Linked DNA regions of Nothobranchius furzeri. The protein of the gene in region 1 purifies or fractionates together with the protein of each later gene. This does not show direct contact. Links are inferred from orthologs where the notes say so. Each region holds a gene or a part of one and is shown on either strand. Other genes may lie near its edges.

Region 1 (4,322 bases):
CCTCTCCGACTCCCGGGAAACGACCACGGGGAAACCGTTATAGTCCGTATCCTTGATGAGCGTCTCCACGTCCTCCACTGTGGTGCTGTCCTGCGTGAGGACAGCCAGAGGAGGGTCATTCCGGCGTGGCCTCATCACGTCGGTGGCCAGGGTGCGGTGGGTGAACTCATCCCGGACGTCCAGGTAGGGATAGCCGTTGAGCTGGATGTGGGACTCGTAGATCCCCTCCTTCCCGAAGGCGTCGGCGACCCACTTACTGGTGACGGCGGCGGCCATCAGCGGAACGATGTACTCCAGCCCACCCGTCAGCTCGAACATGATCACCACTAGAGACACCGTCATCCTGGTCACGCCCCCTGATCAGAACCACAACATTAATACAGGAACCAGAACCGGCTCAGCTCTGCGTCCGATCTGCTCACCCAGGCAGGCAGCAGCTCCCACCATGGCGTAGAGTCCCGGCGTGACGCAGTCGGCGCCGGGCCGACACCAGTTCTTAAAGATGATCCAGTCATGGTGGTGGTAGGCCATCTGCTCCACGGCGATCCCGACGATCCGACCCGCGATCGCTCCCACCGCCATGCTGGGAATGAAGAGGCCCGACGGGATCTGAGGAGGAACCAGAACCACGGTCACTAGAACTCATCTGGGCCCAAACGTTGTGAAACAGCAAAGTTCTGACCTTCATGCCGAAGGTGAAGATGGTGATGAGGATCTTGAAGACGAGAGCGAGGGCAAGCTGCCACAGGGCGTTGTAGACACCGGGCCCGGCGGGTCGGTCCGGGATGTCATCTACGGGTCGGCTCATGTTGGGATTGTTGACGTAGTCGCAGAGCTGGGAGGACTCCAGCGCTCCACAGTCGTTGAACAGCTCTGAAATCAACTCGCTGGTGCTGCGGCGGGTGTACGGGTTTGGGTACGCCAGAACCGCCGTGATCCCCGTCACCACAATCACCTCCAGAACCGGGTACTTCCCCAGCAGGGTCGTCTTCCTCCGCCGGCACCAGGCGATGTTGGCCCGGATGAACAGGGTTCCCCACAGTCCCCCGAACACCCCCAGCAGGATGAAGGGAACCAGCTCGGCCATGTACCAGGGGGTGTGGTACTCCACGTAGAACAGAACCAGGCGGCTGTTCCCAAACGGGTTTATGGACCGTAGTGTGAACGCCGCCACCAGCGCCGCGAAGAACGACCTCCACAGAGTCTTCAGAGGGAAGTAGTAGCTCACCTGGAGGACAAGAGAAAGCTTTACCACAGAACCAGAACCTTACACGGATCAGATCGGATCAGAACCAACCTCCTCCAGGCTGAACAGAACCCCTCCAATAGGCGCTCCGAAGGCCACGGACACACCTGCTGCTGCCGCCGCCGACAACACCTGTGGAGACAAACACAGATTATTATCCAGAACCAGAACCGGGACCAGAACCTGCTGCAGCGGACCTCTCTGCGTTTGCCCTCGTTCTTGCTGTACTTGGAGAAGAGGCTGCAGAAGAGGTTTCCACAGCAACAGGCCACGTGGACCAGAGGACCCTCCTTCCCCAGACTCAGACCAGAGGACACGGCCAGAACCAGCGTGACGGTCTTTATCAGCAGGGTCCACTTCCCCAGGTATCCCCGGATGATGAAGCCACTGAGGATCGTTTTGATCTGGAGAAGGAGAACAAACCCGGCTCATCAAAAGCTCATGGTTTGTTTCTTCACGTGAAAGTTCTGTAAGCACCCTCAGCTCAGTACCTCTGGGATTCCTGACCCGCACGCGTATGGAGCGAAGACTCGGACCAGTGACACGGCCAAGAAGGAGAACAGCAGTGCCCACAGGATGTACAGGAAGTAGTTCAGCACGTACGCTCCAGCTCCCTGGAATCAGAAACCCAATAAAGTCCAGAACTTTATGCATCAAATCACCTCAAATCAGGTCAGTCCTCACATCTGTGTGACCCGTCATTAGCTCTGCCCATTTCTGCCACTGTGGACACTTGTCCCGGTCATCGAAGGTGGTCTCATTGGAGGTCCAGCAGCACTGCTCGTGGCTGTACCAGAAGGCTGACAGACACACGCCCTCCTTCAGGTCCGTCATCCAGTCCACGGCCAGGTCGATCACACCTGCCAGCGTACCTGAGGACAGCCACAGTTACCTGCTACCACCTGACCCGTGCCTGCTCCAGCTGATGCAGCTCTACAGCTTCATCTGGAGTTACCGAAATAAAAGTGTAAACTTTATGATTCCATCAGAAAGCAGATCCGTTTGCTTCCTAGTAGTCTGGAATAAAACCCCCATCACTTCTGGATCCAGATGTGGACCCTGACCTGGATCTGGACTGACCTGACAGGAGGCCGATGAGCAGCATCACCACCCATCCGGACCAGGCGTCCAACAGAGACTTGATCAGCTCCCAGATGGACTCCCTGCTCTTGCTGGTGATCTGGAGGAGAAGCCGGAAGTGAGACACCTGCAGCAGTAGGATCCCCCCCACCACCACCAAACGCCTCACGGACCTTCCTGTGGCGGTCCGTGTCTCTGGACTTCTCCCGCAGCCAGTCAATCGTGTGGAAGTCTTCATACGTGCCCACGTCCGGGAAGGGTTCGTCCAGCAGGTCCATTAAGGTTCCGGCTCCGTTCATGTCCTCCGTGGGGGTGGGAGCGCTGATACCTGTCCGAGTGCAACATCATCGCTGTGTTTACACCCGACATTAGCATCTTTAGCTCCATTAAACACGTCTTACCTTCAGCGGCCTCCATATTTCTGTCTGTTATTTCCACTGCAGACCCAAAACGTTTATGGTAAATTATTAAGTCACATAAAAAAGAATAAACCAGGCATTTTACCGGATATGTACAGAAAAACAACCAACAGCGAGCACGAAGCGTCGCAGACTGATGCTCCAGTCGATCTCGCGATACTTCTGAAATGCCGCGTTGTTTGAAGTCGAAGATCGTCTATGGGCTTGTTCGAGTTGAGCAGCACCTCACCAGGAAAATAGACGAGAGCAGACTGACGCAGCAGGGGAAGTGGCTGAAAGCCGGCATTTAAGCCAAACAGATTTTCCTACATGTGTAGCTCGCGGTTGATGACGGATGAAGATATCGCGTTAGAGTTCATATAATTTTTCATTTTAATTCTGGTGCCTGTTAGCAACCGAAACACATCCTCATGTGCTTGCAGGGCCAGATTAACACTTTGTTGTACCCTGGGCAACAACATTCAAGGACCCCATCATCACGACCCAAGGACCACCATGAAATGGTCACATACAGAATATTTTACTGTAATATGCAGTAAATATACTCAATACTTGAATGCCTGACATCATGTAACCCGCTCAAGGTAACCTTTGGCCCTCTCTTCATTGGTCAGTCTGCATGGGGGGGGGGGGGGGGGGGTCATTTTGCCTTGGCCCCCAAAATGTCTTGAAACGGCCCTGGGTGTGTGATTGAGTTTTGAATGTGATCTGAATTGTATCAAATGTATAAATATTACATGTGCGAACTTATTGTTTTATACAAGTAAAAACATGTAGTGGAGATAAATCTACCTACATTTTACTTAGTTTTCTTGTTTTTATTTAACTATTTCCTGTCTTGTCTGTCTCTCATCTTCCTGCATCTCCTCTAAACTCTCCAGAAAAACTGCTGCCTGGATTCTTACTTTTTCACCTCATCAGTTACTTTTGAGCAGATCAAAGGGATCTCCTGACCGCAAAGCGGAGTGCGCGATTCGATGCTGCTTCAGTGAGGTAAAATCACCACAGCACACGATGAGCTCCGCAGTGGCAGAGCGCTTCAGGCACAAATAAGACAGAAAGTAGAGAACATGTGCAGACATGAATGATCGTGTGTTAATTATAGTTTTTGGGTTGCGCCACTTTGAGAATGGACCGTGCGCTGGACGCAGCAGCCTGGAGCGCTGAACACCAACGATCATCGCTATATGTGCTCTCTGCTCAAAAGAGTCCATAAATGATGTAATATAGGTGGAAAACGTTTTATCCGGCTCCCCTGGATGTGTAGGATATCCAGCTCCCCCATAATTTGATCCCTGCTCCTGGATGAAAAACCGGACATTTTCATCAATACAAGAACCCCCCGGACGCCCGGACAGAGAGTGAAAAGTGGACATATCAGGGGAAAAGAGGACGTATGGTCACCCTAGTTTAATATAAAGCGGGAGATTACAGATACAGTATTTTACTCGTGCTCTTGCTGCCCTGGGCTGGGCCCTTTAGATTTCGTGGGCCCCTGGGCAATTGCCCAGTTGCCCATATGGTTAATCCGGCCTTGCGTGCTTGTGGATATAATATAATGCATATGGAGACATGAC
Region 2 (4,263 bases), on another chromosome or scaffold:
GTTCATTGGGCACATCACGGTTATAGAATATAAACAGATTAAAGTCGGGCTGGATTATATCTCTTTGGAACAAGAAAACAATTAATGAGGTCAAAATTTAAAAATGATTCTATCTTATTAAAGGAGTCATCACAAGTATCTACGTCATATTAGGTCATAAACATAATTTGTATTGGAAAAAAAAAATCAAAAAGTGCTTTTCTGACCCTTTTTTTTGTAAAGGACGTTTTCTCGCGAGAGCAAAGGCGATATTTTGGCTGTATGAAAAGGACATTAGAATAATGCAAATGAGTTGATTGGTGGAAGGAAGCAGGGGTGTTGACACCATATGTTTCGCTTCAGCATCTCTCTCCAAAATAAAGTGCCTGTGACGGATAAATTCTGCCTTACCGTTTGAATTTCAGGTAAGTTTCTCAGTGTTGGAATCTCCCCTCATTCTAGATGAATCCTCAATGCCATCTTCGCCTGATATAGCCCCAAAAGTTATAAAGCATTCTGGCTTAAAATGGCTAGCACAGACATCGAGAGTAGTGGGGAGAGTTTCAGGAACAGCCATCCACTTTCAGCTGCTTAGCCGGAGTCGGGTCACTGAGGCAGCAGCCTAAGCCGGGATGCCCAGACTTCCCTCTCTTCAGCTACTTGAGCCAGCTCTTCCGGGGGAATCTCAAGTTGTTCCCTGGCCAGTCGAGAGACATAGTCTCTCCAGCGTGTCTTGGGTCTCTTCCCAGTTGGACGTGCCCGGAAAACCTCATCAGGGAGGCGTCCAGGAGGCACCCTGACCAGATGCCCAAGCCACCTCAACTGGCTCCTCTCAATGTGGAGGAGCAGCAGATCTACTCTGAGTCCCTCCCGGATGACTGAGCTTCTCACCTTATCTCTAAGGGAGAGCCCAGACACCCTGCGGGGAAAACTAATTTTGGCTGTTTGTATCCGTGATCTCGTTCTTTCGGTCACTACCCAAAGCTTGTGACCGTAGGTGAGGGTGGGAACGTAGATCAACCAGTAAATCAAGAGCTTTGCCTTCCAGCTCAGCTATCTCCACCATGACAGACCAATACAACACCCGCATCACTGCAGACGCTGCACCAATCCGCCTATCGATCTCACGCTCCAGCGCTGTTAAAAATAAAAGAAATCCACAAGCTTCCCAGCTTCCCGTGACCGTTGAAACGACGTCAGTCCGAGACGTCCCGTCATGGTTAAAAAAATTAAACCACCGTGTTTTCTGGCAGTGAATTCAACGTTTTTCAGCGCATCTCATTTAGACGTCTAACAATAAAAATTTGAGCATCTTATTACTTTATTACAGTAAAAAACATATTTAAAAAAATTAAATAATTGCAATCTGAGTCAGAATCTCGTATGTCCCAGCCTGAATTTGAACCCGGGTTCTCTGTGTGTAAGTCGGGTGTCTTGCTAACTGAGCTCTCTTCGACAACTTTTGTTAACTGAAAAAAATGTCTATTACCAATAATGGTGTTAAAACCCAGCAAACATTTGGACCCTTGATCACAGCTGAAATTACGTCAGAGCGATAAAAGTTTAATATTTGAAATTACAAATTATTATTTTTATATTTTTAACGACGACTAGTTGTCTTTTCTGGCCGTGAATTCCACATATTTCACAGCCTTGCTGTCGGACTAATGTTTGCTGGGTTGGTCTGATTTTGGTAAAACAAACACATTTGTGTGGAGTTTGCAGTCAACAACTGAGCAGCTCACATGTGAAACACACTTCAACATTTTCCGTTCTCCTGATTTCAGTAATGGCGGTGCTCGACTGAATTTGAGGGGAAGCAGAGCAGTGCGGGCTATAGCGGTGTTGCTCTGCGTTGTCCATATATGGTACTGTACATCCTGCCTTTGTGACAACATCAAGGCCAGAACTCAAGGGGCTCAGGGGATGCACCTGGGCTGGTTGAAGAAACCAAGAGTAAAAAAATGATCAGTGTTAAATGTTAAATTATCGGCTTCCCGGCCAGTGAAAAATAATTAGGAAATCATTATATTTACAGTTTTTCAAGTGGAAAAGTGAAAACTTCAGGTGATGACTCCTTTAATATAAAATAATTAGAACAATACCTTCCTGCAGGCTGCTCAAACTCACCCTCCTAAAAGGATACTTTGTCGCAATAAAGTTCCTTACCAATCTTTCTGGGTGACATTTTTGTTATAGATGTGTCCAGAAATGTTTCTGTAGGGTGGGCAGATGCACTTGCAGCGCACATCCTCAAAGTTCTGCAACAGTCAAGAAAAGTTAATTAAAGATTGGGTCTTCTCATTGATCCACGATGCATTTTAAGATATTTTGCACATATTTGACTGCACAAGATGCAACATTGTTTTTAAGGATGTGACCTTAATATAGTGGTAGATTGAAGATAAAATCACACACATATAAAGGTTTTCTCTGACAAGCACTGATTTATGATTTTGCTCTAATATGCAATGAAAACATAAAGGGTAGATCTGTTATAATGTAACACAAGTTACTGAGTTGACACTGAAAATCAAAATAATACAAAAACAAGCTCTAACAGGACATAAAATGGTCGGTTTGTTTTTACCTTGGCCTGAACAGGAACAGCAGTTTCCAGCAGCAGCACGGTCACTAATGTGGCTGGAACAAAGACCCAGGATCCACCTCGGCCGGGCATTTCAACTAAAAGGACAACAGGCTGCACGACGACAGCACAAATGACCACAGTGTCAAAACAAAACATACAACTAGCAAGCTAGCACCTAGCCAAGTTAGCTAACAGGCTAACACAAAAAATGAAACAAATATCACGTCAAACGTTGACTCTGAAATTAAAATAAAATGCTATTGCGTATAATGGCATATTTAACTTACGCTGTAACAGCAGAAAAGCTTGTTTTATGAACATCCAGAATCCTGCTACATGCGGTTTGGTTGCAGCTGAAAAAAAAAATCGTCAAGTTGACTCTAAACTTCCGGATTTCGGAATCATCACTGACCTCCCATGAACACGGGGTAATGGCGCCTCCTGCTGGTGAAATGTTAAAATAACTTTGAAATTCTTAAACTTTATTTAACAAAACAGAAAAGAACAAAATAATAAATTCCAAGAACAACACACGAATCCAAACATTCACACCCCCTTCAAGATGTCAAATTAAAAGAGAGGAACACCCTCTGGTGGGAGGTATATTAATCAAATATACAAAAAATAAAAATAAAAACATTAAAATAACAATAGTTACAAAAAATTAATAATAATAATAAAAAAGAAGATACAGAGGGAACAAGATGAAATTTAAACGATTTATAAAACCATTCAAACACGGAATACCAAAACAACAGACATTTTATATTAAAACTAAATGAGTTCAAGAAGGAATACGCTGCCAAATGAAGGTGATTGATGGCCACATACGCTGTCTATAAGGGATTTATGTGACTAATCTTTTAGTATCTGGCTTTCAAGAATAAGGATTTTTTTCCACTCCCCTGTGGAAATAAGCTGCTTTCTTGCGTTTAGTACGCTCAAATGTTATTTGAACCCAAACAAAATGACAAAACAACCTAAATTTGCCACAAGAGGGCGACATTTGTTCAGCAGTGTGGCATTCATAAATGAGAGCAATAAAGGTGGCACTTTTTCTTTTCACCCACAACTACTATTCACTTATCCACAGTTACATTCGCTGCAAAACCACTTTTTAAATTAATTTAGCAGTTTGTTTTCTTGTTCAAATGAGCAAACATGTATCTGGATCAACTGAACAGAAAATAATGTTTTCATTCATCTCCAAGATAAAAATTTACACGGTGTTCATTATTGCTGCAGGTTATAAAATAATCAAGGTAGACAAAAAATAAATGTGTAATAAAAATACAAAAATCCATAAATAACAAGGAATAAAATGCACAGAGACCACAATCATAGACTGAAAGTGCTACACACACATAACAACAAAGCAAAACAAAATTACTCCAGTATTCATACAGGTGTGACTTTGAATACATTAAATATATAAAAGAAGAGAAAACTGCAAAACCACCTACAACACAATAAGCATATCAGGTTTTTAAAAAACCAAATGAACCACATAGTTTAGCATTATATGGACCGGCAATTACCTGGATGACAAGCATTAAATATAAGTAACAACTATCATAAAAATGTTAACAAAAATCATTTCAATATTTAGTCAAATGAAAAAACAAAAAGTTATTATTCCTATTCTTTCTTCCCTTTATTAATTTGTAAAATAAGCCCCAGAATCATCAGCCAAT

What was found.
Region 2: the proteins of H(+)/Cl(-) exchange transporter 4 (region 1) and tmem9 purify together in Homo sapiens (co-immunoprecipitation; 3 studies listed by BioGRID and IntAct, with this or other methods). This does not show direct contact. The link is inferred for Nothobranchius furzeri from reciprocal best matches to the Homo sapiens genes CLCN4 and TMEM9.

Annotation. Positions count from the first base shown.
Region 1 is NC_091743.1:82,166,314-82,170,635, forward strand, and holds the start of H(+)/Cl(-) exchange transporter 4, read right to left. Parts: upstream 2,904-4,322; 5' UTR 2,744-2,903; coding exon 2,728-2,743; intron 2,655-2,727; coding exon 2,500-2,654; intron 2,427-2,499; coding exon 2,327-2,426; intron 2,119-2,326; coding exon 1,931-2,118; intron 1,861-1,930; coding exon 1,738-1,860; intron 1,651-1,737; coding exon 1,444-1,650; intron 1,379-1,443; coding exon 1,298-1,378; intron 1,229-1,297; coding exon 683-1,228; intron 610-682; coding exon 423-609; intron 357-422; coding exon 1-356. UniProt on the Homo sapiens protein: Strongly outwardly rectifying, electrogenic H(+)/Cl(-)exchanger which mediates the exchange of chloride ions against protons.
Region 2 is NC_091755.1:26,873,723-26,877,985, reverse strand, and holds the start of tmem9 (proton-transporting V-type ATPase complex assembly regulator TMEM9), read right to left. Parts: upstream 2,995-4,263; 5' UTR 2,857-2,994; intron 2,681-2,856; 5' UTR 2,660-2,680; coding exon 2,570-2,659; intron 2,241-2,569; coding exon 2,149-2,240; intron 1-2,148. UniProt on the Homo sapiens protein: Transmembrane protein that binds to and facilitates the assembly of lysosomal proton-transporting V-type ATPase (v-ATPase), resulting in enhanced lysosomal acidification and trafficking.